Pelodiscus sinensis: one gene and its partners. The protein of the gene in region 1 interacts with the protein of each later gene in a pairwise test. Links are inferred from orthologs where the notes say so. Each region holds a gene or a part of one and is shown in the gene's direction. Other genes may lie near its edges. The genes, in order: CCNDBP1, STK25, IMP3 and NANOS2.

Region 1 (7,264 bases):
GGCTAGTAGGTATCTAGTAAATAAACGCTGTGCATGGCTCTGTCATCACCCATTTCTTCCACCTGCCCTTAAACTGACTAGTGTGAATGAATGAGCTGTGATTGCTCATTTGTAGCCTGGGAACTCCTTTGGGTAACCTAAAGAATAAAAGGTAGGCATGGGTCTCTAATTAAAATATAAGAAATCAAATCCTCTGCATGCTTCTGGATTTCTGGAATAGTCAGTGATTTATCAGTGGAACACGGGCCAACAAGCTCCCAAACTCTCCCTTACTAGGTATGTTATGAAGGGTCTGACTGACGGATATTTGCCTTAAGTGTACAATCACCAGGGTTCCTCACCATGAATCCAAGTAATTTACAGAGAACTGCTAAGTGGATCATGAAAGGCATGAAAGGGGCTTGCAGAGTTGGCAAATTAGAATGTTTTTTTTTTGGTAACGTTTCCCCCACTTATCTTTTCAGGGGGTCTTATCGAACCTTTTCTTTGTGGAGCATGACTTCCTGGAACAGGAGATTCAGGAAGGGAAAAGCCACCAGAATCCACATGAGGCCCAGTTTGTGGTGGAGTTGTGCAAATACTTCTTGTGCCAGGATTACTTGCCCTCTCAAATCACCATCCTCACCACCTACACTGGGCAGCTCTTCTGTCTGCGCAAACTCATGCCTGCCAAGATCTTTGCAGGTGTAAAGGTTCATGTGGTGGATAAGTATCAAGGTGAGGAGAATGACATTATCTTGCTGTCACTTGTGCGCAGTAACAAGGAAGAGAGAGCTGGGTTCCTGCAGATTTCAAACCGGATCTGCGTAGCATTATCCAGAGCTAAGAAAGGGCTCTACTGTGTTGGGAATATGAGAATGCTTGCCAAGGTGCCTCTGTGGAGCAAGATCATTCACATCTTGCGGGAGAAGGGTCATATTGGTCGCTCACTCATGCTGTGCTGTCAGAACCATCCTGACACTAGGACACTGGTGTGCAAGGGAGCAGACTTCTGCAGAGTTCCTGAAGGGGGCTGTAGTCGCCCCTGTGAATTCAGGCTGAGTTGTGGACATGTCTGCACTCGAGCATGTCACCCCTATGACTTAGAGCACAAAGAGTTTCAGTGCATGAAGCCCTGTCAAAAGGTGCTCTGCGGAGATGGCCATCGTTGCCCCCAGTTGTGCTTTGAGAACTGTGGACAATGCATAGTGGAAGTGCAGAAAACGATCCCAAAGTGTGGCCACCAGCAGATGGTCCCTTGTTCCACTCCTGTGAACAAGTTTTGCTGTCAAGAGCCTTGTCAGAAATATCTGAAATGTGGGCACAAATGCAGCATGTCCTGTGGGCAGGAATGCAGTGTGCAGTGTCTCGAAATGGTTAAGGTCACACTGAAATGTGGCCACGACCAGGAGGTGAAGTGCTGGATCACAGAGGAGATGAAACATGGGATGCCTGTGAAATGCAAAACCAAATGCTCTGTCTCACTGGCTTGTGGCCATGCATGCCCGGGTTCCTGCTATACCTGCTTTGAAGGGCGATTTCATGAGCACTGTCAGAGCCCTTGTAAGCGCATCCTGATCTGCTCCCACCAATGTCAGCAGCCTTGCACCAGAGAATGCCCTCCGTGCCAGCAAACCTGTCAGAACCACTGTATCCACAGTCGTTGCAAAAAGAAATGTGGAAAGATGTGCATCCCATGTATGGAGCCATGTGAGTGGCGCTGTCAGCACTATCAGTGTACCAAGCTTTGCTCTGAACCGTGCAACAGGCCCCGTTGCGATGAACCATGCACCAAGCTACTGCACTGTGGTCATCCATGCATTGGGTTGTGTGGGGAACCTTGCCCAAAAAAGTGCCGTGTTTGTCACCATGATGAAATCACCCAGATCTTTTTTGGCTATGAAGATGAGACAGATGCTCGCTTTGTGGAGCTGGAGGACTGTGGCCACATCTTTGAGGCCCAAGGCCTTGACCATTACATGGATGATGAAGATGAAACTGTCATCAAGCTGAAGGTCTGCCCCAGCTGTCAGACAGCCATTAGGAAGAACCTGAGGTATGGCACCATAGTAAAAAGGCGGCTGGAGGAAATAGAGAGAGTGAAGGAGAGAATCCAAGGCCCTGTAAGTGAAATTGAAACTAGCAGGCACAGACTACAGGATGTGCTGGAAGGGAAGGCTGTTCTGCGAAGGAATCTGCCCACTAAATACCTTCTGTTGGAAGAGAAGTTGATACACCCTGATCTCTCCACAAAGAGTATTGGACTCCTTGAGAACCTGATTGGCTTCTATGGGCGCTTGGGGGAGCTGACAAGCTCCCTGAACAAGGTTGATGTGAATGAGAAGGAAAGACTGAGGATGCGACTGGCTGAAATTCAGGAGTGGTTGGACAAGCCCCGACTAAGCTTCACGGGCCAGGAGCTCGTTGACCTTCAGAGTGAGATTCAGAGGCTTACGTATCTTGTGAGTCTCCTGGCCAGATGCAAAACAGCAACTGCAAAGATGAATACTTCTATCTCGAGAGAAATTGGTGCTCTGCGGCAGATCCTAGAGGGAACAAAGAAGTTCACCCAAGAGGATGAAAAGGTGGTGAAGAGGAAAATGGAAGAACTAAAGACAGCTCTTCCAGAGTCTGGGTTGGGAATCTCGGAGGAGGAGCGAGTGCAGATTGTTAGTGCCTTGGGTTATCCACGAGGTCACTGGTTCAAGTGCCCCAATGGCCACATTTACGTGATTGGTGATTGTGGTGGGGCAATGGAGAAGAGCAAGTGCCCAGAGTGTAAGGAAGTTATTGGAGGTGCAAACCACACTCTGGAACACAGCAACCGTTTAGCTCCTGAAATGGATGGGGCAACTCATGCGGCCTGGTCAGAAACTGCAAATAACATGCTCAACTTTGAGGAACTCCGCAGGATGATATAGAAGAGCTACATTTGGCTCAGTAGTACACCTTTTAACCCCATGAATGCTCTTTCTTCCCCACTGCCAAGCTGCATAGCACGTGGAGTAGCCAGCGGGTGCTCACTGGCTCTGTTTGACAAATTGGATTTCTTGTGATTAACACTTGCTGTGTTTGTTGCTAGAACTAGTCCTATTTCCTACTCGCACTTTATATGTCGAATCAAGCAACTGAATGAAATAGATGTAACAAATTCATCTGCTTTAGCCTGAAGCATGCGCGGGGCCTAATGTAGTTCCAGGGCTGGCTGGCACCAGTCGGTGGCATCAGCCCCTGCAGTAGCTCTGGCTATTGCTCATTGCACTGAGTGTTTAACCCTCAATCTTTTATAGCTCAATAAATTTTATTCATAGTCATTTAAATGCAATATTTCCTGGGAGCAGCCTCGCCCCCCCCCGGAGAGACCGGGACACCCCGCTACAGGTCCGCTCCTCCCCACCGGCCCACTATTGGCGCGGCCGGAAGTCGCTCTGGTGCCCCAAGGAAGGGCTCGGGCACGACCGGAAGTAGCTGTGGGGTTTCAGTGACGGGGGAGCGCGTGACCGGAAGAAGTTCTGGTGCCCCACTAAGCGAGGTCCGGTTCGGCTGCAAGTAGCTCAGGTGACCCGTTGAATCGGATCCGGGCGCTGCTGGAAGCAGCTGTGGAGTCTCACTGAGGGCTGGGAATTGGCCGGAAGTAGCTGGGGGGGGGGGGGCTCAGGGATGGGCTAGGGTCAGTAACCCTGGTGCCTCAAGTGCCGGAAGTTATTCTAGTGACTCACTCGGTGGGGGCAGGGCGCAGCCGGAAGTAGCTGGGGGGGGGCTCAGGGATGGGTTAGGGTCAGTAACCCTGGTGCCTCAAGTGCCGGAAGTTATTCTAGTGACTCACTCGGTGGGGGCAGGGCGCAGCCGGAAGTAGCTGGGGGGGGGGGTCTCAGGGATGGGTTAGGGTCAGTAACCCTGGTGCCTCAAGTGCCGGAAGTTATTCTAGTGACTCACTCGGTGGGGGCAGGGCGCAGCCGGAAGTAGCTGGGGGGGGTCTCAGGGACCTAGACCAGCATCCTGTCTGCCACAGTGGCCAAGGCCGGGTGCCCCAAAATAGCTCCGGCGTCTGACTAGGAGAGGCCCGGGCGGGGCCGGAAGTAGCTTGGGGGCAGGAGGGGTCTGAAGACGGGGCAGGGCGCGACCAGAAGTGACCCTGGTGCCTCACTGAATGGGGTCCGGCCTCGGCCGGAAGTAGCTCGGGGTGGGGTCTCACTGAGTAGACTTCCGGCGAGGCCGGAAGTAGTCCTGGTGCTCTGACGCTGGAGTCCGGACTCGAGCCCCTTTGAGCGGCGCCCGGCTCATTGCTCGGCCGTGTTTTGCTGACGGTCCCCACGCCCCGTGTGCGTGCGCAGAAAGCGCAGAGACCTTGGGGCTGAGCGGATGGAGCCGGGGGGTGCGGAGCTCGCGCGGGCGCTGGAGCCGCTGAGGCAGCTCGGCGAGGTGCTGCGCGCGGCCCTGGCCCGGCTCCGAGGTGCGGCCGCGGGGCGGGGCGGGGGGGCGGGGGACGTTGATCCGGGGGAGGCGGCGGTGCCGGGGGGGCGGGCGGGGGGGGATCTGGGGGAGGCGGCGGTGCCCCGGGGGGCGGGCGGGGGGAGATCCGGGGGAGGCGGCGGTGCCGGGGGGGCGGGCGGTGGGGGATCCGGGGGAGGCGGCGGTGCCCCGGGGGGCGGGCGGGGGGAGATCCGGGGGAGGCGGCGGTGCCGGGGGGGCGGGCGGGGGGGATCCGGGGGAGGCGGCGGTGCCGGGGGGGCGGGCGGGAGGGGGATCCGGGGGAGGCGGCGGTGCCGGGGGGGCGGGCGGGAGGGGGATCCGGGGGAGGTGGCGGTGCCCCGGGGGGCGGGAGGGGGGGGATCCGGGGGAGGCGGCGGTGCCGGGGGGGCGGGCGGGGGGGATCCGGGGGAGGCGGCGGTGCCCCGGGGGGCGGGCGGGGGGGGATCCGGGGGAGGCGGCGGTGCCCCGGGGGGCGGGCGGGGGGGATCCGGGGGAGGCGGCGGTGCCCCGGGGGGCGGGCGGGGGGGATCCGGGGGAGGCGGCGGTGCCCCGGGGGGCGGGCGGGGGGGGATCCGGGGGAGGCGGCGGTGCCCCGGGGGGCGGGCGGGGGGGGATCCGGGGGAGGCGGCGGTGCCGGGGGGGCGGGCGGGGGGGGATCCGGGGGAGGCGGCGGTGCCGGGGGGGCGGGCGGGGGGGGATCCGGGGGAGGCGGCGGTGCCCCGGGGGGCGGGCGGGGGGGATCCGGGGGAGGCGGCGGTGCCCCGGGGGGCGGGCGGGAGGGGGATCCGGGGGAGGCGGCGGTGCCGGGGGGGCGGGCGGGGGGGGATCCGGGGGAGGCGGCGGTGCCCGGGGGGGCGGGCGGGGGGGATCCGGGGGAGGCGGCGGTGCCGGGGGGGGGCGGGCGGGGGTGGATCCGGGGGAGGCGGCGGTGCCGGGGGGGGGCGGGCGGAGGGGATCCGGGGGAGGCGGCGGTGCCCCGGGGGGCGGGCGGGCGGAGGGGATCCGGGGGAGGCGGCGGTGCCCCGGGGGGCGGGCGGGCGGAGGGGATCCGGGGGAGGCGGCGGTGCCCCGGGGGGCGGGCGGGCGGAGGGGATCCGGGGGAGGCGGCGGTGCCCCGGGGGGCGGGCGGGCGGAGGGGATCCGGGGGAGGCGGCGGTGCCCCAGGGGGCGGGCGGGCGGAGGGGATCCGGGGGAGGCGGAGGTGCCCCGGGGGGCGGGCGGGGGGGGATCCGGGGGAGGCGGCGGTGGCCCGGGGGGCGGGCGGGGAGGCGGCCCTTTCTGAGCGCCGCGCTGGTGTCTTTGCAGATGGGGAGTCGCGGGAGAGCAGTGAGGCCTTCGAGCAGCAGCGCTTCTGGGACACGCTGGGTAAGGGCCTGGTGTGGCGGGCGGGCCCAGGACTCCCAGCCCACGGGCCCCGGGCTGCAGTGGAGGAGCCCAGCTGAAGAGCGGTGCGCTAAAGGGATCAATGTGGAAAAGAAACCGCCCAGGAGCTTCTGCTGGTCCGCCAGGGACCGCACCGGGGACCTCATGTTGTGCTGGCACTTGGTCCGCAAGCGCAAACGATTTCCCTCAGAACAGCTTCCAAAGGTTTTACGAGCCCTGCCCTCAGTATCGGATTGCACAATTAAAAAACATCATGGGGGTCTTAAGATGTTCACTCTTGGAGAAATTTACAAGTTGAATTTATGGCAGTGCTTTTGGGGTTTGCTAAATTCAGTCCCGTAATTGGGGAAGCCACTTCATTGCTTTTTCAGTTAATGGATATGAACCTGTCAGAGGATGATCATAGAGCTGGAAGAGACCTCAGGAGGTCATCAAGTCCAGCCCCGTGCCCAAAGCAGGACCAATCCCAACTAAATCAACCCAAAGCAGGAGGTGCTGGACTAAGTAGCTAAATTAAAAAGCAACATATTACAAAGCATCATACATCCAAGAGCTGAGAACAAATTTACCTGGATGTAGCTGAACTATTACTAAAACCAATAAAAATTGTATCCCTTTTTAAGAGGTGCTATGGTGATCCTGTGAGTTGCAGATCAGTGAGCCTTATTTCAGAATTTGGTTAAGAGGCTGAAACTATAATTAAAAAACATGGAACAATTTCCATACAGAAAAATAATGAGAATCAGTTACATCTTTGAAAACCTTTTGCCAAAATTCATGAAGCGAGAGGGAAAGTGCTGTCATGGATTGAACACTAGCTAAGAGACCAAGGAGAGGAGCAATAAATGACCAGTTTACCATATGGCATGTCTTGAGCAAAGAGTGCCCTGTGGGTCTTTATACTGAGAGTGGTAGGTGCTTTCTTTTTGTTAATGATCTGAAAATAGAAATGACCAGTGAAGTGGCAAATTTTATAGATGAGGCAAAATCAGAGAAGTCTTTGAGGGACTTCATAGGGATCTAACTAAGGTAAGTGAATGGGTAACGCTGAGTGATCTGTAGTATGGTAACAAGACAAAGTTAGTGATAGGCAAGGTTATGCATCTTGTAAGAACAATAAATCAGGTTTCAAATGAACTGCGGTTAGCCAGGAAAAAGACGTGCACCTTGTTTTGGACAGCGAAGCATAGCTTTGTACGCCATGTCTCACTGGGCAGAGCGTTCTGATGCATGGGACGGCATAGCAAATAGGACACTGAACATAGTGGTGCCCCCTCAGCAGCAGCAGCACCGTGTCTGTGCTAGGCACCCTGTCGCTAAAGAGTATAGGAGCAACAGAGGGAGTTCAGAGACGGGAGGCAAGACTGGCCCATAGAGAGTGCGCTATTTGAAGAGAATTCAAGTACTAGGACTGTTTAGTTTTGGAGAT
Region 2 (7,585 bases), on another chromosome or scaffold:
CCCACGTGCAGCCCGGAGTCAGCGGGATTTCCTGCTGGCCCCGGGCTGCACGCGGAGTTCCGCATTTCTCCTTTGCAATGGACAAGCGCCCTAGAGGGGCCCAGCGGGGGCTCTTGTACATTTCAAAGGCGGAATGCCCAAGTGCCTATCGAGTAGTCGATGGAAATTCCTGACTGCCTTCCACACCCACACTCCCAGCAGCACACTAGCTGGGCCTGGCGTGCCTGGCCTAGGCCAGAAGCCAAGAGCTGTATTTTCAGAGGCAGCCCAGCTCTTAAGTCTACTGCATGACCTGTGCTGGTGTGAAGGCCCGGGCTCTTGCAAAGGCTGTTGTTTCTGCAGGCTTATAAAACCACGACAGGTGTGGAGAATGTTATTGTTCCCATAACACAAGACCTAGAGGGTCACCAAATGAAATGAATAGGCAGCAGGTTTAAAACAAACAAAAGGAAGAATTGCTTCACACAAGGCCCCGTCAACCTGTGGAACTCCTCTCCAGAGGAAGTTGTGAAGGCCAGGACTATGCCACCCAGGACAGAAAAGGATTGTGGGGTTTCATTGCATGGAAGGTGAGGCACACACCCAGCAGGGCGCTGATGTCAGTCATGTGTTCCAGACTCTCCAGAGGAAAAGAAACGAGGCCAGTGACTACCTGGGGTAGGAGATGCAGAAGGGCTTGTCCAGATCAGGCCCAGGGACTGCAAAAGGAGGTGTTGGAACAAAGCCAGCAGAACCGGCCTGGGCCAGGCAGGAGACACATGCTGAGCAGGACTGCTCTCTGCAGGGGACACTCTTCAGGGCTGGCAGAACATGCCATGAGCCACCCTGTTCCGCAGACACTCCACATCCTGCAGCCCCTGGACAGTTCTGAATGGGGAGTAAGCCGTTGCGTGCAATACACAAATGGGTGTGTGTGTGGGCTCTGGGCCCGGTGCCCTCCATCCCTGGGACAAGAGAAACAGATGCTGGGCAGTTCTATTTCCGGGATCCTGCACGCACTGGCTTGACGCTGTTTTCTCTCCACTTACTTCGGGGCAGACGGCCTGGACTATTGTCTCTTCATACAGTACTTTGCTGTTCTGTCCAGCTGGGTGTGAGTGCATGGGGAAGCAAGGAACTTCAGAGCAAAGCTTTTAATAAAATCTGTGATTATGACTATGCAAGTGAGTATCTCAGGGAAATTGGTAAAATGCAGTAATGTTGCACCCATATTCTCCTTCCCGTGTTCCACTTTAAGCTGAAGATGGGTGTGTGTGTGTGTGTGCAGAAAAGGCATCTCATATTTCCCTTGCTCTCCTGACCTAGCCTTAGGTATCAGAGGCACACTTTCTGCTTTCCTTTGCTGATTTGGGAGTTCCTGGAATTCTTTCTTAGATTTGCTTTGATGACTAATTATTAACCCCTCTCTGTGTGCAATGCTGCACAATCCTCATATGCTGGTTGGCTGTCATTTAGAAAAGTCAGATTGTCAACAAAATGTAAATCTTCCAGGCTACTCTGCTGTATCTTTCCACACCTGTTCTCAGAATGGCAGCGGCAAACAGGAGAGCTAAAAGGTGCTGTGGACTGGGAACAGATAACACTCCCCAGCAGGGGCGTTACCTAGGCATGTGCATGTGCAGAAGGGAATCTTTTGATCGCTTCTAGCTTCCTGCAGAACTGGAGCCCAGCTGTACCTGCCTTTCACTCCCGAGTGACTAGCTTATTTTCAAGGCTGCCTTCGCAAGGAAAAGGGACAGAAGCTTATTTTATTATTGTTATGGTTTTAATTAAAGAAAGCTTTGGTTGACTGGTGTGCTTCTTACTCCCTGGGATCAGGAGACCAGCTGGAGGAAATACAAGAGATAGAGTGATCAGTTTCCTGGGGCCATATGGCTGCTCCATAGGGTTCACTCCAACTTGCACTGAAACTGGAGGCCAAGCTATCTGGGGAGCTGACAGATGTGCTCATGGTCTGAAGCTTCTTAGTTGCACAAGAGAATTCACTTAAATTCAAAGATGATCTGCCTCTCTACAAGGGCTTGAGCAGGGCTACTCAACTTTGGAAGCCTCAGGAGCCACAATGATACTCTCAGCACATGCGAAGGGCTGCAGCTTAAGTGTGGTTGCATATACGTGCAAACATATATGCAAATATATGCAAATAGCTTCTTTCACACTGATGGGCATGAATACAACGTTTAAGGCAAGGCTACACAACACACAGGCCCCATTTAAGTCAGTTCTGCTGACATTAATACAATGCAATATTTACCCGAGTTCCACCCATCTGACAGCACTTTGAACAAGCACCGACTGTCCAGGAATTGAACTACTAAAATGCATATTAAGAGAAGACCATTATATTGACTTGCCATTGTGGAGCGTGTTCCCAGTGGAGGCCACCTTCACAGGATCCCACGTCAGCCGTGTGTTGAACCCCATGTAAACCCAAACCGCACCACGGGCCGCAAACAAACAGGCCGTGGACCACATGCAGCCCATGGGCCATGTGTTGAGTAGCCCTGGACTTGAGTGTTTGCTGCCAATGCCACATACATGAAAACAGTTGTCTTTGAAACTGAAAGTCTATTTATAAATATATATTAAGTATATATTTTAGGTGTTAACTCAAGAGTAGCGAAGTGATAGGATGGGCAAGGGACACTAACCCTCACCTGACACTTCCTAGCTCAGCAAGACTTTTTTTACAGTCCTTCGCCATTTTTGCTACAACTTGTAGTAAGAGGGGCAGTGTATAGTCAATGAATTGAGGATCAGCCAAGTGCAAAAAGCCATGCATGTAGGAAACAGTGAGCAGAGTGCACATGTGCCAGGGAACCACGGCTTGCTAACTGGGAAAGATTTCAAGTCAAGTGTTAAAAGTGACCTGTAAAGCAGTTTTTTCAATTGGCTTGCAGCCTAGGATGTATAAAGGACTGATCTTTTACTATCATGAGTCTTTATTCTTACCAATACCATATTTTACATTCATGATATCTCCTGGCTTTGTTGGAGGATGTCTAAACAATGAGAACTCTCAGTAAACAGCACCTGCCTTGGCTGGTGAGATTGTTAAAGATTTAACAAAGGCTTCCTTTATTCAAAATGTGAGTTAGTCATTACAGTTATTTGCCTTTTTGAAGCATCCAAGTGTTTTAAAACAGTCTGATTAAAAGTATTTTTTCCCTCCCCAGGGAAAATAACTTTCTTTCTTCTCATCATTTACTCTAGCTCTGTCATCATCATCTTTCACCCTTGACCAGACCTGAGCTCCTAATGTACAAGCCAGCTGAGGAAAGAACACCCCACCCACTTACAGCTCTGAAAAGATTTTAAGCTTTCCTTGTTCATTACAACAAAGCAATAAAAAGGCTCAAGCTCACCTTCAAAAGTCAAGTTCTCTCCCCAAAGGGAGTGCCATGAGTGAGTGTGAAATGACGCAGGGACCCAGCAGAGGTCAAGGTGAGCAGATAAGCAGCAGCACAGGCATCTGCAATTGTTTGAGGTGCCAGATTTGAGTTCAGGAAGGCAAAGGGCAGCCAGCTCTGAGTAACTGCCCTGGGCGCTAGTAGGTAGAGCAGCAGGTTGGGTGACATTCCCTTCTGCCCTGCCTGCAGCACTCTTCTCCTTCTCTTGCTTTGGGGCAACAGGCTTCCCTCTCACCCTGCGGGGATCCTCTCATCGTACCCCCCCCCATGGTATTGTTGCTCTCAGTGGCTCGGCCAGGAGAGGGGCACGAGGCAGGAGCAGAGACTCTACAGCCGGGGGGGGGGGGGTTCGTCTGCAGAGGGGAGAAGCCGGGGGCCCAGCCCAGTTTCTGTAAGGGAGAGGTCTTGGCATGGGGGAGGGGGAGAATCGCCCTTCCTCCCCGCCAGGCCCCCAGGGAGGGGCCCCTGGAGGGGCCGAGGGGGCTCCCAGGGAGGGGCCCCTGGAGGGGCTGAGGGGGCTCCCAGGGAGGGGCCCCTGGAGGGGCCGAGGGGGTCCCCAGGGAGGGGCCGAGGGGGCTCCCAGGGAGGGGCCCCTGGAGGGGCTGAGGGGGTCCCCAGGGAGGGGCCGAGGGGGTTCCCAGGGAGGGGCCCCTGGAGGGGCCGAGGGGGTCCCCAGGGAGGGGCCGAGGGGAGGGCCCCTAGAGGACGTTAGGGGGAACCCCAGGGCCGAGGACGCGGCGGGGGTCGCTGCCCAAGGACCACGCCAGGGGGAGCGAGGCGGCTGGGGGCTGTAGTCCTCTCTTGCCCCGAGGCCGCTGCGCTCCGGCCGAGCAGCGGGGCGAGCGAACTACATTTCCCAGAAGGCTCCGCTCTTCCCGCCCCGAGCCGCCTCGCCCGTTGCCTGCCGGGTACTGTAGTCCGCAGCCTGACTCCACCCTGCCGGGCGGCCGAGCGGGAACTACCCGTCCCAGGAGGCTGTGCGGCCCGCCCGCCTCTGCGCGCTGTTGTTGCGTCTCGCTCCCCCACCGCTGCTGAGTTCGGTGTCCGGGGCGGCCCCCTAGAAACCGGCGGCGCGCGCAGCGAGAGCGAACCATGGAGCCGCGGCGCGGGGGGCGCTGAGCGCGGCCTCCCCCTCCCAGGTGGCGCTGCGGGCAGGGGCGGGGGGGGCAATGGGGGAGGGATATAAGGGAGGCGGGGGGGAGGGGTGAGGGAGACGCGGGGGGGAGGGGCGGGGAGGGGTGGGGTGGGGTGAGGAAGACGCGGGGGGAGGAGGGGCGGGGAGGGGTGGGGTGAGGGAGACGCGGGGGGGGAGGGGCGGAGGGGGGAGGGGTGAGGGAGACGCGGGGGGGGGAGGGGTGAGGTGAGGGGGACGCGGGGGGGGAGGGGTGGGGTAAGGGAGACGCGGGGGAGGAGGGGTGGGGTAAGGGAGACGCGAGGGGAGGAGGGGCGGCGAGGGGTGGGGTGAGGGAGACACGGGGGGAGGAGGGGCGGCGGGGGGTGGGGTGAGGGAGACGCGGGGGGAGGAGGGGCGGGGAGGGGTGGGGTGAGGGAGACGCGGGGGGAGGAGGGGCGGCGGGGGGTGGGGTAAGGGAGACGCGGGGAGGAGGGGCGGCGGGGGGTGGGGTGAGGGAGACGCGGGGGGAGGAGGGGCGGCGAGGGGTGGGGTGAGGGAGACGCGGGGGGAGGAGGGGCGGGGAGGGGTGGGGTGAGGGAGACGCGGGGGGAGGAGGGGCGGGGAGGGGTGGGGTGAGGGAGACGCGGGGGGAGGAGGGGCGGGGAGGGGTGGGGTGAGGGAGACGCGGGGGGAGGAGGGGCGGGGAGGGGTGGGGTGAGGGAGACGCGGGGGGAGGAGGGGCGGGGAGGGGTGGGGTGAGGGAGACGCGGGGGGAGGAGGGGCGGGGAGGGGTGGGGTGAGGGAGACGCGGGGGGAGGAGGGGCGGCGAGGGGTGGGGTGAGGGAGACGCGGGGGGAAGAGGGGCGGGGAGGGGTGGGGTGAGGGAGACGCGGGGGGAGGAGGGGCGGGGAGGGGTGGGGTGAGGGAGACGCGGGGGGAGGAGGGGCGGGGAGGGGTGGGGTGAGGGAGACGCGGGGGGAGGAGGGGCGGCGAGGGGTGGGGTGAGGGAGACGCGGGGGGAAGAGGGGCGGGGAGGGGTGGGGTGAGGGAGACACGGGGGGAGGAGGGGCGGGGAGGGGTGGGGTGAGGGAGACGCGGGGGGAGGAGGGGTGGCGAGGGGTGGGGTGAGGGAGACGCGGGGGGACGAGGGGCGGCGGGGGGTGGGGTGAGGGAGACGCGGGGGGGACGAGGGGCTAGGCGAGGGGTGGGGTAAGGGAGACGCGGGAGGGGTGGGGTAAGGGAGACGCGGGGGGAGGAGGGGCGGCGGGGGGTGGGGTGAGGGAGACGCGGGGGGGATGAGGGGCTAGGCGAGGGGTGGGGTAAGGGAGACACGGGGGAAGGAGGGGCGGGGAGTGGTGGGGTGAGGGAGACGCGGGGGGAGGAGGGGCGGCGAGGGGTGGGGTGAGGGAGACGCGGGGGAGGAGGGGCGGGGAGTGGTGGGGTGAGGGAGACGCGGGGGGAGGAGGGGTGGCGAGGGGTGGGGTGAGGGAGACGCGGGGGGACGAGGGGCGGCGGGGGGTGGGGTGAGGGAGACGCGGGGGGGACGAGGGGCTAGGCGAGGGGTGGGGTAAGGGAGACACGGGGGGAGGAGGGGCGGGGAGTGGTGGGGTGAGGGAGACGCGGGGGGAGGAGGGGTGGCGAGGGGTGGGGTGAGGGAGACGCGGGGGGACGAGGGGCGGCGGGGGGTGGGGTGAGGGAGACGCGGGGGGGACGAGGGGCTAGGCGAGGGGTGGGGTAAGGGAGACGCGGGAGGGGTGGGGTAAGGGAGACGCGGGGGGGAGGAGGGGCGGGGGGGGTGGGGTGAGGGAGACGCGGGGGGAGGAGGGGCGGGGAGGGGTGGGGTGAGGGAGACGCGGGGGGAGGAGGGGTGGCGAGGGGTGGGGTGAGGGAGACGCGGGGGGAGGAGGGGTGGCGAGGGGTGGGGTGAGGGAGACGCGGGGGGGACGAGGGGCTAGGCGAGGGGTGGGGTGAGGGAGACGCGGGGGGGACGAGGGGCTAGGCGAGGGGTGGGGTAAGGGAGACGCGGGGGGGAGGAGGGGCGGCGAGGGGTGGGGTAAGGGAGACGCGGGGGGAGTGAGAAGGGGGGCAGGCGGAGCAGTGGGGAGGGGTTCGGGGCAGGCTGGGCGCTGGAGGCAGGGGGTGAGTGGGGGCAGGCTGGGCCCTAGGGAGCTGAGCCCAGGCTGGGCAGGCTGTGCAGCCTAGGGGTGGAAGCGGTAGGGTTGTTCAGGGCTCTGACACTGTTCCTGCCTGTCTGAAGCAAGTCTCCCCTGTCTCGGAAGGCCCAGGGTCGTTGGGCTGTTGCCAGAAGGGGTTGTGCTCTTGGGAATGGTTGGGGGGCTCACCATGCCGTGGCTAGAGGAGGAGCAAGCTAGACTCTAGGAGCTCTGAGTATAGCAGCTGTATTCTGGCCCATCACAGCTGTTTGGTGGCTGAGAGAGCACTGCTCATCCCTGTGCTACAGGACCCCGGCCGCCTGGTGTCAAGGAAGTGGGTGTCTTAGCAGCCTCGGGCCATGGCTCATCTGAGGGATTTTGCCAATCAGGTAGGTGAGAAGGAATAGTTTTTGAAACATGATACAAATCCTCAAAGCAAAAGTCTTTGTTTTAAGAACTCTGTCGTCATTTACCAAGGTGGGGATGTCCCACCTATGTTCTCAGCTGTGCTGTTCTGATCCAAAGGGTTGCTGTCCTAGTCCCTGAAAGAATCAGGCTTTGACACTGCCATGGAGGCAGGAAGCAAGAGACTGGCGTGGATACAGTAGCTCCCTAAATATAACTGTGACCTCCTTAGGGAAGTGGGGAGTGTTTTTCTCTCTCAGCATTTGAGGGGAAGTGGGATAAGAAATGGGACAGACATGCAAAGTCTGAGTTACAGAATGACCGGCCCCTAGTATAATGGACTGGATGTACATCAGTAATAGCCACAGTGAGCATCCTGTGCCAAGTAATTTTGGAGATGGATGAGAGGCTGGTCTGCTTGGCCCTAAATCAGGTGCAGGCAAATACCAGCCCACAGGCCGGATCCAGTCCGTCAGGGTTAGCTCCTGGTCAGCCCCCACTGC
Region 3 (6,400 bases), on another chromosome or scaffold:
TTAATAAGTATCTCATAATATGATGAAGGCTGCCATGTTGGACTCATGGCTTATGTAAAAATAAAGGAGTGAGAGGACCTTTTGGCTTTCATACCTGAGTTGTGTGACCAGTCATCAGATCCGTGCAGCCAACAGAGTAAGGCCCCTTCCCCCGAGGAATTCTATACATCTTTGCAGAGTTCTTGCTCTCCATATCCTTCTGTGCATTAACACACAAACCTGGGGGTAAAACACAGAACAGGTGACTACCACCTCCTTTGCATACCTGCTGAAGAGGACATCACAGCATTACAGATTCAGGACTTTGAGATTCAGGGCTGAGCTGACAGTCAAGAGTGATGAGAAGCAGGCAGAGGATTCATAGATTTTAAAGCCAGAAAGGAGCATTATGATCTCCTGTGTATCTCAAGCCACAGAATTTCACCTGGGAGAGTGTTGTGTGGAGGAGCCACAGATAGCTGGGAGGGAGGAGAATGATGAAGGGAGGAGTAAGAGAGCCAGGGGCAGCGATTATTAGAGTGACACAAGGACTAGGAAGCTGGCAGAAGCCTGGGATTGCTGTGGAGATGAGTGGTGATAGTAGACCTTTGATGAGGCAGGATTAGCAGTTCCTGAAGTAGCCTGCATTGAGGAGTTTGACTCATCCTCCCCTCTTCTAGCATTTGCTACCTCCCCATGTTTTGCTTGTCTACATTAGTGTTCTCCACCCTAGCCTGTCCTTTCAGCTCCTACTTTATTCTAACCCCCAAGGTGCTCGCAGTCTTTCAACCCAACACCCATCCTGTGTCTCAAGACTGACCTCCTTTTCCCAGCTAGCTTCCCCTTGACCCCTTCCTCTTTGCTCCTCCCTACTCCTCCCGGCTCCCTTGCCAACAAGAACACCTCCTCCTTCCAAGTGCTCCATGTTGGTTTGCATCCTGTCACAGGCGAGCTGCAAGAGCAAGGGGAGAGGCCGTTTGGAGGTCTGAAATTCCTCCACTATAGCTGTCCCTGTTGGCCAGGAGGAGAAGTTCCTGCTGAAATTCCTGCAAACCTGCTTGATATGTGACATGGCAGCAGGACTGTGGATCAGTATTAACAGGGCTTCTGAATATGTCTCCTGTGATCTCAGACACTCTGCAGGCCAGCCTTCAGCAAAGCCCAAAGGAAAAAGCCTGGTGGTGACCTAACTTATTCTACCTCCAGATTAATCCTTCTAAGGTGCATAACAATTAGTTGGCGCAGAGTGCACCGGTTGATAGAGTTGGTAATGTTTATAACGCACACTGGGATCGACTAGAAAAAATGCTATCCCTTCCTTTACCGCAGGGGTGGGCAATAATTTTTGACAGGGGACCACTCCAAGATTTTGGAAAGTGGTCGAGGGCCGCACACTTCCATGATATTAATGGAGGAGGTAGAGGGTCTGGGATGGAGGTTGGGTGCAGAAGGGAGCTTGGGGTAAGGTATTGGGGTGCAGGAGGGAGTTTGGGTGAAGGAGGCAGTTGTGACCTAGGGCAGAGGACTGGGGTGCAGGGGTTTGGTTTGTGATCTAGGGGAGGGGACTGGGGTGCAGGAGTTTGGGTAGTGACCTAGGGTAGGAGGGGATTGTGATCTGGGAAAGGGGATTGGGATGCCAGATCTGGGAGGGGATATGGATGCAGGAGAGGGTCAGAGGGTTTGGATATGTTGAGTGGGGGGGCAGAGGGTTGGGGAAGAGAGGGTCTGGGGTGTGAGAGGCAGGTTCTGGCCAGGAGACTTATCAGCCAGTAGATCAACCAGCCTGCCTGCCCTGCACCTGCACCTACACATGCTTGTGTGAATAACTGAGCTGAAGGAGAGGGGGGAGGCATGGTGCTTTGTGTGCTGCCCATTATTCAAACAGGCAGCTCCCACTGGCCAGTGTATGGCCAGAAGCCAGCCAATGGGATTGTGCTGGGGGCGAGAGCAGTGTCTGAAGCCTTCCCCCATTCAGTTTTTAAAGAGAAACGGACCTACCACCACTTTTGGGCTGTGGCGCAAGCTAGGGAGCCTGCCTGGAGCTCCACACTGTGTCCATGGGCCAGATCAGGTGGCTTAGTGGACCAGATCCAGCCTGTGGGCTGTACATAGACCAGGCCTGCACGAAGAGGTCTCAATTCTGCAACTGCTTCTTTAGGACACTTCATGTGTGGGAGTTAATTAATGGGATACATAATAAACTGACAGCCTGCACATTTACTAAAAGCTTTCAGGTAACAGGTGCAAAATCACATTCTCCCCCCCCCCCCTTTTTTTTATTAGCCTCCTACAAATAAATAATAACTGCGCCACTGAAGGATACATTTCTTACCTGCTAATTGAATTTGTCCCAATTTCCCTATGCTAGTCCAGAGCAACCAGTAACGGAAATGGAAAAGTAAATGAAATTTTGAAGACTGCATCTTCTATTCATGCAACTTCTCAGTGTTTCAGCTTCATGACCTTTGCCAAAGCAAATAATGTAACACTATATAAACAACAAGTATTCAAAAGCAACAGATATTTAGTTTTGTTTTTAAGGGTGACATCTGGATTAGCAAATGATTCAAAGCCTCCAGTCAGTCTCCTTGACCATTCAAACCTTGCTAAGACTGCCAAGAGAATCAACTAGGAAGCTGGTTTTAGTGATGCGAATTCTTGCTTCACTACAACCAGAACTGAGAGCATCAACTCTTTTCACATAGCACACCCACCAAAAAGCCATCAGATCATAGTTGCACTGATGGTCATTGCAGTCCATTCTGCGTTGCGCCTCCTGTATTCTGGGATATAGTGGGACCCAGTCCAGTCTCCAGCATAATTTAGAGCATTTCCTTGGCATATTTTACATTAGTTGCCAGGGCCCCCTATTGATAGGTAAGGCAGAATTCATCCCTATATATATATATTGCACCCTCCCCACACACACTCTCTCTCCAGCTGAAGGAAAAGGAGGGGGGGGACATTGATTGTTTGGTCCTGGGGCCCAGAATTGCTTTTGTCAGCAGGCCTAGGAATAGTTAAGCTGACCTAAGTCCGCATGTAGACAAGCACTAGGTCAACAGAAGAATTCTTGGAGAGGTGGATTATCTGCCCAATGGGTGAAACCCTCCTGATGATATAGGTAGGGTCCACACTGAAATGCTACAGCAGTGCATCTGTGCCACTATGGTAAGAAGAGCCCTCAGTCCTCATCTGAAAAATGGGAATACTACTGTTTCCCTAATTCACAGCAGTGTGTGAGACACTTCATGATTTGTAAAGTTGCATAAGAACCTTGTATGAAAAGCATGACAGAAGCACAAAGTATGTTCTCTCAGACATTTTTGAGCCTTTAAACTTGTTATACTTGAGTCAGTAAAGAGGCCGGTTGAGTCACCTAAGACAGGCATACCCCTAAACACAAAAGGGTAGCAAAAAGTATCCCAGGATAGCTGATTACAATAGTCCAGAAGTTATTTGTGCCACATATTCGGAAAACTGAAACCCAGCACTAGAGAAGATACTTGTATTTGGAATCTCTCATGTTGGTTAAAAAATGCTTTTTTCTTCAATTCTGTCAGATGTTTCTGGACACTGTAGTAGCCAAACAGTGGGTCTGGTAGCTTGCTATGTCTCACCGCCCCTCCCCCGAGTTGCTTTAACTTTGCTTTCATGGTGCAAGGCTGCCTTGTATTTGCCTTTAATACACAACTGTTTAGTGGGTGTATACACAACTTTAATACACAACTGTTTAGTGGGTGTATACACAACTTTAATACACAACTGTTTAGTGGGTGTATACACAACTTTAATACACAACTGTTTAGTGGGTGTATACACAACTTTAATACACAACTTGGGAGGCCACATCAGCACTGGGCTGGTGGCTGTAAAGCAGGAGTGGGGATCCTTTTTTGAGTGGGGAGCCACTGACGCACAGAAAAAACAGTCAGGGGCTGCAGACAAAAACCCTTCACTGGCATAGCCCCCAGCTAAGGAGAAAGACACTCCCCACATTCCCCCTGCACACCAGAGCTAGGGGGACCCAGCCTGGCACATTTTGAGTACTGGAGCCCCATGGTGGAGCAGCAAGGGGGGGGCTGGAGCACCAGCACAGGCTCCCCAGTTCAGGGGCGATCCTGAGCCTCGGGGGCCACGCCCATGCAAGCGCCCTGGCGCAGCACCACTCTGTGCAGAGGCTCGCGACCAGCCAGCCAGCTTGGCGCATGCGCACCGAAACCACCACCCGCCTGGCAGTCCCTCTCTATCCCGTCATGCGTCACTCCCCAAGCCGCCGCTCTTCTTTCCCCCTATTGAAAACGTGACCGGCGGCAGGCTCCGCTTCTTTCTGGCCAATGAGAGAGAAGGGCAGCAAGCCCCGCCCCCCCTTGCTCGGAGAGCCGGAAGTTCCGGTTCCCCCCCCCCCCACTCGTGGTTGCTAAGGGCCGCTCGCGCTCGTAGCCTCCCCGGCGGCAGGATGGTGCGGAAGCTGAAGTTCCACGAGCAGAAGCTGCTCAAGCGGCTGGACCTGGTGGGCTGGGAGGCGGCCTCGGGGAACCTGGCCGAGCTGCGCGTGCTGCGGCGCTACCGCCTGCAGCGGCGCGAGGACTACACCCGCTACAACCAGCTGAGCCGCGCCGTGCGCGAGCTGGCGCGCCGCCTCCGCGACCTGGGCGAGGCCGACGCCGCTTTCCGGGCCCGCTGCACCGCCGCGCTGCTGGCGAAGCTCCACGGGCTGGGGCTGGTGAGCTCCAAGCGCTCGCTGGAGCAGTGCGACCGGGTCTCGGCCAGCTCCTTCTGCCGCCGCCGCCTGCCCAGCCTGCTGCTCCGCCTGCGCATGGCCCAGAGCCTGCGCGACGCCGTCACCTTCATCGAGCAGGGCCACGTGCGGGTGGGGCCCGAGGTGGTGACCGACCCCGCCTGCCTGGTGACCCGGGCCATGGAGGATTTCATCACCTGGACCGACTCCTCCCGCATCCGCCAGCACGTGCTGAACTACAACCAGGAGCGGGATGACTTCGACCTGGCCTGCTAGCGGGGCAGGGACCCCTGGGGGTTGCTGGCTAATGCACCCCACCATCCTGGGAAGAGACTCGGGGCCCAGATGATGTGCCTCTCCATGCCACGGAGAGCAGTGCTACCCAGGGGCCAGCTCGTCTGTGTTCTGCCTGTCCTTGCCAAGAGATGCCTGGCCTGGTTGTCTTAAGCCTGCTCCCCTCTCTCTCTCTCTGCAAAGGGACTCAGTACACTGTTGTGTCACCAAGTCTGGTACCATGCACCTCCTCTGTGAAGGAACTCCTTGCCCAGATGGACCAAGCCTGGTACCACCAAGATAGGCCCAGCCTGGTACCACCCACCTTCTCTGCAAGGGGACTTGTGGCTCAATTATGCCATCGTGCCTGCTGCCTGTCCCCTCCCATTAAAGGGATTTCTGACCCTGATGTCATTACTACGATGAGCTATTAAGCAGATGTCATAAGTCACTGTCCCTAAGCCTCTGCCTCTGATGTGATGATATACCCTCCTGCTGCAAAGGCCATTAGCAAAATAGACTGAATGCTGTTATGTCATCACCACCAAAGGGCCATCTAGAAGGGACTGATGAACAAATGGCTCTCCTGGCCAGATCTGTTGTTCAAATGTGATGTTAGAAGAGATACAGGGTTTTATAGTTTGTCTTGTCAAAGGACTTCTTAACCAGCTTCCCTTTTGCTTCTCATAATAGTCCTTCTTTCAAAAATAAATCAATGGGGATAATTCTGTTTTCAGAACTGATCTTGGCTAATTATGCTAACGTTGTAATCTGCAGCATTATCTACACCAGTCATCATAATTTATATGTAATAAAACTGAAATTCAGATTGCTTCTTAGAAAATCTATTTAATTTCTTGAAAGCAAGAACTGAGCTCTTTCTTGGTAATATTTTTCCCCTGTCCTACTGTAGTAACATTGAATGTGTTCTGGTTTCACTGCTGAACTGGTTTCACTACTTAACCAACAATTAAATCTAATTGAATTTTAAATGGTTCATTATTAATTTACCTGTGGATTTGCAGGCACCTTTCCTAGGTATGTTCTGTCTTCGTAACAATCACAAATGCATTTTCTGTTGTCTTTATTGTTAGTGTTCTGTTGCATAGTATCTATTACATCTTGCAGATGTATTGTTTATGCTACTTATGTGCTAAATACTTTGCCCCAAGGAGCAAAGAAAGCTAAATCCCTTAAAGGCCGGATCTACTGGTATAGCTGTGAGTTAACACTACGGGGGGGGGGGGGGGGGGGAGCCCTAGGCAGATATACCAGCATAAGCACTTGTTTAGCTTATTTTGTTTGGGAAACTGGTAGCAACTGGTCTCTTGACTAGGAAGTAGAAATATACCAGCAGCTCCTTTCTAGTGTGGCTAAGGCCTTAGAATAAATAATGTGTATGTCTGT
Region 4 (7,309 bases), on another chromosome or scaffold:
ACGGTAACCGGGCCTAGCGGTGAGTCTCCATAGTGGATTTCACTATTCCTGTTTTCTCAGGCGACGTTAGCACGGTCCTGGTGTAGTCACGCGCGTTAGAATCATAGAATCGTAGGTTGGAAGAGACCCCCCTGCCCGAAGCAGGACCAATCTCAATGAAATCAACCCATAATTGCCTGGGCGGGAGGCAAACAAGACAACCTCAGCGCTGGCCAATTTTAGGATTTAACCCTCACAGCTCACACCTTTTAATACCGACGGCGCCACGTTTCAACCTGCGCAAGCTTCATTGCGTTTCATTTCCTTGTCTTTCCTCAGGCGTTGTCTACCCCAAAACAAACTCACATTATTCCACGGTCTCTCCCTGATCTGCCCTTCTTCTAGTATAATAATGCCTGCCTCTCTCATTTCCACGCCATGCATCCATGTGGGTTTTTGCCCACGAAAGCTTATGCCAGGTAGGACCAACCTGAGCCTGAGAAGGAGCCACAGTTTACCAATGTACATCGCCGAAGAGCTGCAATAATTTGTCAGTTGTCCCCATCAATTTGTCAGTCTCCTCTGCTTCCATCCCCACCCCTCCTGCCCTCGGCAAGCAGCTGTTTCATGGCACTCAGGAGGCCCGGTGGGGGAGGGAAGGAATGAGGACAGTACACTTGGAGGAGGAGGTGGAGCCAGAAGTTAAGCACTGGAAAGTTGGCACCTGTAGCTGCAGCCCCAGAGTCGGCGCCTGAATAAGGAGCCACATAATAACTTCAGAAGAGCCACAGGTAGGCCACCCCTGGCTTATGCCCAAATCATAGAATCAGAGAACCATAGAGCTGGAAGAGACCTCAGAAGGTCATCAAGTCCAGCCCCCTGCTCTAGGCAGGACCAATCCAACTAAATCAACCCAGCCAGGGCTTTGTCAAGCCGAGACTTAAACATCTCTAGGGATGGAGACTCCACCACTTCCCTAGGGAACCCATTCCAGTGCTTCACCACCCTCCTAGGCTATGTCTAGACTGCAAGCCTCTTTCGAAAGAGAGCGTCTAGACTGCAGCGGAACTTTCGAAAAAGCAAGCCGCTTTTTCGAAAGAAAGCACCCAGTGAGTCTGGATGCTCTCTTTCTAAAAAGCCTGTTTGCTTTCAAGAACGCCTTTTTTCGAAAGAGCACTTTCGAAAGAAGGCGTTCTTCCTCGTGGAATGAGGTTTACCGCCGTCGAAAGAAAAGCCGCGTTCTTTCGATTTAATTTCGAAAGAACGCGGCTGCAGTCTAGACGCAGGTGAAGTTTTTTCGAAAAAAGGCTACTTTTTTCGAAAAAAACCCGAGTCTGGACACAGCCCTAGTGAAATAGTTTTTCCTAATATCCAACCTGAACCTCTCCCACCACAACTTGAGCCCATTGCTCCTTGTTCTGCCATCCGTCACTACTGAGAACAGCCTCTCTCCATCCTCTTGGGAACCTCCCTTCAGGAAGTTGAAGGCTGCTATCAAATCCCCCCTCGCTCTTCGCTTCTGCAGACTAAACAGACCCAACTCCCTCAGCCTCTCCTCATAAGTCATATGCTCCAGCCCCCTAATCATTTTGGTTGCCCTCCGCTGGACCCTCTCCAACGCGTCCACGTCCTTTTTGTAGTGGGGAGCCCAGAACTGGACACAATACTCCAGATGCGGCCTCACCAAAGCCGAATAAAGGGGAATGATGACATCTCTGGATCTGCTGGCAATGCTCCTCTTAATGCAACCTAATATGCCATTAGCCTTTTTGGCTACAAGGGCGCACTGTTGACTCATATCTAGCTTCTCATCCACTGTAACCCCCAGGTCCTGTTAGTAAACCTGTTAGTCTGTAAGGTGCCACAGGAGTCTTTGGAGTTCTTCGGGAAGGGTTCTAGCAGAAAAATAATTTATTTGTGGCAATTCTGGGATGACTCGGCTGTTCCAAACGCTCCAGAGGGGATGCCGAGTGAGTCTGTCACTGGAAAAACTTAAAAAAACAACGAATTGTCTTGCAGCACCTCAGGGTGTGTCTAGACTACATGCCTCCATCGACAGAGGCATGTAGATTAGCCAGATCGGCAGAGGGAAATGAAGCCGCGATTAAAATAATCGCGGCTTCATTTAAATTTAAATGGCTGCCCCGCTCTGCCGATCAGCTGTTTGTCGGCAGATCGGGGCAGTCTGGACGCGACGCGCCGACAAAGAAGCCTTTCTTGATCGGCACAGGTAAACCTGGTTTCACGAGGCATACCTGTGCCGATCAAGAAAGGCTTCTTTGTCGGCGCGTCGCGTCCAGACTGCCCCGATCTGCCGACAAACAGCTGATCGGCAGAGCGGGGCAGCCATTTAAATTTAAATGAAGCCGCGATTATTTTAATCGCGGCTTCATTTCCCTCTGCCGATCTGGCTAATCTACATGTCTCCGTCGACGGAGGCATGTAGTTTAGACGTACCCTCAAAGACTAACAAAACATGTCGATGGTACCATGAGCTTTCGGAGACTATACCCCTGTGTGCACACTCTATTCCGAACTAAACTGAGAAACAGGGAGGCGGCAAACCTGGCAGCGGATAGAAAACTACTCAAGAGCAGTAAGCCCACTGCAGACTGCAAAGAGTTACAAAGGGTTCTCACCAGATTGTGGGACTGGACAACCACGTAGCTGATGCACTTCCGTGTTGATCCATGCAAAGTAAAGCACATTGGAAAACAGGCTCCCAACTCTCCATTCGCACTGGGGGGGTGTAAAGTAACTGTTGCCACTGGAGACAGAGATTTTGGATGGAGTCATTGCGATCGGTCCATTCCGTGTGGAGCGGCCGGCGAAAACGCAAACAGAATGTTGGAAATCGTTTTAGAGGGACAGAGCAACAGACAAAAATACCAGACTGCCTTGCTGCACCCATGAGACGCCCGCATCTTGAACATGACACCCAGGTGTGGCTGCCTCATCTCGAAAAACATAGACTGGAACTGGGAAACGTACAGAAAAGGGCAAGAAAAATGATGAGGGGTATGGAACAGCACCCGTAAGAGTAGGCCTGCACAACATGCGGTCCGCAGGGGCTCACTGTGCGGCCTGTGACGACTACAGGCGGCGTGGTCCTATCCAGTCCGCCATCCGGGTGGAGGAGCGGAGCGCTGCCGGGGAGGGGGAAGTGCGGCGATTTTCACCGCCGGGCTGCCTGCGTGCAGCTCCGGCGCGAGGAGGCGGGGCGCGAGCCAGAGGGCAGGATGCCAGCAGACGCCAGGATGCTGGTGTGATGTGGCATCGTGATGTCACAGCCAGTGATCGCCGGATTCAAAAAGGCTCCGGCAGCCCCGCAAACTGGAAGGCAGAAGCCAAGTAGGGGAGGGGAGGGGGGCAGGTCAGGAAAAAGGGGAAGGCACCAAGGGTCAGGGTGCAGGACAGACAAATGCCAGGGGGCCAAGTGGAGACAATGAGGAAAAGGACAGGAGGGGAGGTATCAGTGGGACGGGGGACAGGGTGATGCTGGGAGAGGAGAGGGGAAGGGCATTGGGAGCCGTATGTTGTGCAAGCCTAATTTAATTGAAAAAAATCTTAATAAAGTATCACCCCCCCCAAAAAAAAACCCTACCCTTGTGGCCCGTGGCTGTTTTCTTTGCAGTAATATGGCCCTCGCCGCTTTCCAAGTTGTGCAGGCCTGCATGAGAGGAAAGATTAACAAGAGCGGGACTTTCCGGCTAGAAGACACGTCCAAAGGGGGAGAGGATAGAGGCCTAAAATCCTAGCTGATGTGGCGAAAGTAAAGAAAGAAGTGTTATTTACTCCTTCTCCCAACACAAGCACTAAGGGGGCCCCATGAAGTTAAAAGACAGCAGGTTGAAAACAAACAAGAAGAAATATTGCTTCCCCCAACGCACAAGCAGAGGATATTGGGAAGGCGAAGACTACAACATGGTTCAAAAAAGAGCTAGATATATTCATGGAGGTTCGGTGCTTCAATGGCTATTGGCTGAGCGTGGCAGAGTTGATGTTCCTAGCCTCTGTTTGCCAAAAGTTGGGAATTGGGGACACACGATGGATCATTTGAGGATTCCCTGTCTTGTTCATTCCCTCTGGGGCTCCTGGCATTGGCCATTGCTAGAAGACCGGATACGTAGAATGACCCAGTATTGGCCATTCTTATGACTTTCTTCCAGATTATTTACTCTGCCTTTGAGTTATGCTGGAATACCTATGGGTATGTCTACATTGGCATGATTTTCCGGAAATGCTTTTAACGGCAAAGTGTTCCGTTAAAAGCATTTCCGGAAAAGCGCGTCTAGATTGGCAGGACGCTTTTCCGGAAAAGCTCTTTTTGCGGAAAAGCATCCATGGCCAATCTAGACGCACTTTTCCGCAAAAAAGCCCCGATCGTTATTTTCGTGATCGGGGCTTTTTTGCAGAAAACACTACTGTGTTGTCTACACCGGCCCTCTTCCGGAACAGTTTTCCGGAAAAAGACTTTTGCCCGAACGGGAGCAGTATAGTTTTTCCGGAAAAGCACTGATGATTTTACATTAGATCGTCAGTGCTTTTCCGGAAATTCAAGCGGCCAGTGTAGACAGCTGGCAAGTTTTTCCGGAAAAGCGGCTGATTTTCCGGAATAACTTGCCAGTGTAGATACAGCCATGGTGAAGTAACTCTTTGCTATAGATATGCTGGTCAGTTTCTCTTACTTTTGTCAATTACTTTTTTAATGGCCCTTCTGTTAACATCTCTCTCAATCTTTGCAACTGAGTAGGGCAATTTTTAGCAGATAAGCGCACGTGGGTTGGCTTTTTTTGGAGGGCGGGGGGGAACAGAAGAGTGTTTATGGGCTGGAGCAGCTAAAGCTCCCTTGAAACATTTTAAAATGTCTTTAAAAACGCTTTTAACTAATGTTGTTCTGACTCGGCTTGAAGGTTAAATGCGGGGGAGCTACAACGAAGTTGCATTTGCGACTTCTGTGGATGTGTTTTGTGACACCTCCGTAAGCCAGGGTGGCTCAGCGCGACCATCCCCATCACATGGACCCTGTATGGGTATAAAATATGTATCCACTTCTGCCCCACGAACATGGTCTGCAGCTAACTAGTGGCATTTTGCAGGCCTGTAGGATAAGTCTGTTACAACCCTTGCTAAGAGCAGCATAGCTTTTAGCTCATGCAATAGGAGGCTCCCACAGTAAGGTCCCAGGGTCCTAGGTTTGATCCTGACCTCTGACAGCAATGCACAAGGACAGTGGTCATCAACCGGCAGAAGACCAGGGACCAAATCCAGAGCACAAGATCCTTTTGAATGGCCCCAAAACTCTTTTAGTATTATCATTATTCTCCGTATTCTTTTCTCTGGAGTCTGGATCTTGACTAGGCCTCCACCATGAAGTCTTGAGCTTGGCCAAAAGTCATGGCCTGCCCCTGCGCTAGGACACGAGTTTCGGGCGCAGAACGGAGGGGAACATGGACTTTGGATTTCTAGAAGAGGGGAGAGTCTGATTACCACTAGACTTCCGACCGCTGAGCCTTGAGAATTAGCCCGTCAAACTCCGGCGCGGAGGGTTTTGGTGTCTGGCCCTTTAAATCCCAGACTCCACCTCTTTGCACTGAATGGGCACAGTGCTGCCTGCTGGCACATGCTGCCTACTGCAGGCCAAGCCTATTAAAGGAGCTAGGGTGGAGGGGCTGTTTGCAGAGGAGGGGGCTGCTCCGAGGAGCACCATGCTTCCCAGGCCACCTTGTCCGCCAGCCACGCTCGCACATGACTTCAACATGTGGCGGGACTACCTGAACCTGTCCAAGGTGCTTGGGGAAATCATTGAGGAACACAGAAGGGGATCCAGGCGTCTGCTCCCCTGCGAGACCCCAGACTTCTGCCTCCCTGTGGATCCTCTTCACATGACCCTGGAGGACACTTTGGTCCTGAAACCATCGGGTTGGAACAGGAGCAACAGTAGCAGCGGTTCAGAGGAGCAGAATAGGGTGGGCACCCCTCCGACGCCCGGCAGACTCATATGCAACTTCTGCCGGCACAACGGGGAGTCCAAGAAGGTCTACTCCTCCCACCCGCTGAAGCAAGCCGACGGCACCGTGCTGTGTCCCATACTGCGCAACTACGTCTGCCCGGTGTGCGGGGCCACGGGCGACAGGGCCCATACGCTGAAATACTGCCCGCAGAATCAAGAGAAGCAGTCCCTCTACTGCAAACGCGGGCGCAACTCGGCCGGCTTCGTCGTGCGCCGGTGAACGGCAGGGGAAGACACCTTCCCCGCCCTGGGACAAAAACACGGGACCTTTCCCCAGGGAGGCGCCCGAAGGTGCTTGGAACGGAAATTTTCGGTTTCTGCTGTTTGTTTCGGAGTTTGCATTTCAAGTCCAGGGTGGAACTAACGTGTCCAGAGTCACCCTCATTTCTTTAAATCCCCACGGCAGCCGGGGGGTTGTATCCTGGCCCCGCGGCGAGTTCGGCTGGGAGGGAACCAGCACGGAAGGACCAGCCGTCGGGATGGACGGCTGCGAGACATTTGCCTCCGCTACATGTGTTTTGTTTTCACCTCCTTTGCCCAAGCCAATGGGTATTTATTTGTTTCCACTCCGCAGGAATCGTTTGCAGGCGTTTGCTGCGAGTTTTATTTGAAAATCATGGCAGAAAAGGACTGAATGCGAAAACGGGCCTCTCCGTAGCGTTTTACCGCGTTTTGTAGTTGCAACTACCCATGGTGGGGGGGAGGCGTGGTTCTCTCTCTGTTACATTTGAGGGTTTGTTTAGCAGAGTTTTTTTTTTTAAATGCAACACTCCCATAGCCCCTTTCTCTTCTGTTTAATAAACAGTATTGTTGTTCTGGCAGCTGGTTGTGTGGGCTTGGTCGGCTTTTCCCCAGCGTTGCTCTGGAACAGCTCCCCTTTTCGGGCAGGCAAGAGAAGTTGCTCCCTTTGTCTCCCCCACTTGCAAGAGGAAGGAGCACCGGGCCGGGATTGAACCTGTGATGCAAGGGATGGAAGCCGCGTGGCTCTAGCACATGAGCCAAAAGCTGCCTGGAAGAGACTCTAGAGCAGGCCTCGTGCTCCCTTTCTCACTGGTCTCGGTGCCTCTGGGTTACACGCGGCCAGACACGCACGGCGCCCTGGAGGTAGAGTGCACCCTGCCATGTGCGGGCCACCGGGCCTCCTGCTTCCAGTGGGCACTGGCAACCCCACCCCCCACAGGAAACGGCAGGCAGGCAGGTCCAAGGGGCCAGCTGAGGGCGCGCTGTAGGAGGCAGCCGGGGTCCTGGTGGGGCCGTGCCTCCCTGCTGTCCCCTCTCGCTGGACGCCGGGCAGCCCGTGTGCAGTCCTGGCGGAGG

Evidence for each region.
Region 2: the proteins of CCNDBP1 (region 1) and STK25 interact in binary tests that used the Homo sapiens proteins (3 or more experiments, as listed by UniProt). The two-hybrid records come from large-scale screens. The link is inferred for Pelodiscus sinensis from reciprocal best matches to the Homo sapiens genes CCNDBP1 and STK25.
Region 3: the proteins of CCNDBP1 (region 1) and IMP3 interact in binary tests that used the Homo sapiens proteins (3 or more experiments, as listed by UniProt). The two-hybrid records come from large-scale screens. The link is inferred for Pelodiscus sinensis from reciprocal best matches to the Homo sapiens genes CCNDBP1 and IMP3.
Region 4: the proteins of CCNDBP1 (region 1) and NANOS2 interact in binary tests that used the Homo sapiens proteins (3 or more experiments, as listed by UniProt). The two-hybrid records come from large-scale screens. The link is inferred for Pelodiscus sinensis from reciprocal best matches to the Homo sapiens genes CCNDBP1 and NANOS2.

Annotation. Positions count from the first base shown.
Region 1 is NW_027465987.1:395,337-402,600, reverse strand, and holds the start of CCNDBP1 (cyclin-D1-binding protein 1), read left to right. Parts: upstream 1-3,960; 5' UTR 3,961-4,341; coding exon 4,342-4,432; intron 4,433-5,757; coding exon 5,758-5,817; intron 5,818-7,264. Other genes in the region: ZNFX1 (NFX1-type zinc finger-containing protein 1), read left to right, coding at 465-2,900. UniProt on the Homo sapiens protein: May negatively regulate cell cycle progression. May act at least in part via inhibition of the cyclin-D1/CDK4 complex, thereby preventing phosphorylation of RB1 and blocking E2F-dependent transcription.
Region 2 is NC_134720.1:284,445-292,029, reverse strand, and holds the start of STK25 (serine/threonine-protein kinase 25), read left to right. Parts: upstream 1-4,390; 5' UTR 4,391-4,549; intron 4,550-6,942; 5' UTR 6,943-7,036; coding exon 7,037-7,066; intron 7,067-7,585. UniProt on the Homo sapiens protein: Oxidant stress-activated serine/threonine kinase that may play a role in the response to environmental stress.
Region 3 is NC_134713.1:12,403,241-12,409,640, forward strand, and holds IMP3 (U3 small nucleolar ribonucleoprotein IMP3), read left to right. Parts: upstream 1-4,373; 5' UTR 4,374-4,438; coding exon 4,439-4,996; 3' UTR 4,997-5,825; downstream 5,826-6,400. Other genes in the region: PLA2G7 (platelet-activating factor acetylhydrolase), read right to left, coding at 95-219, 2,312-2,402. UniProt on the Homo sapiens protein: Component of the 60-80S U3 small nucleolar ribonucleoprotein (U3 snoRNP). Required for the early cleavages during pre-18S ribosomal RNA processing. Part of the small subunit (SSU) processome, first precursor of the small eukaryotic ribosomal subunit.
Region 4 is NW_027465849.1:6,570,519-6,577,827, forward strand, and holds NANOS2 (nanos homolog 2), read left to right. Parts: upstream 1-4,468; 5' UTR 4,469-5,576; coding exon 5,577-6,212; 3' UTR 6,213-6,769; downstream 6,770-7,309. UniProt on the Homo sapiens protein: Plays a key role in the sexual differentiation of germ cells by promoting the male fate but suppressing the female fate. Represses the female fate pathways by suppressing meiosis, which in turn results in the promotion of the male fate.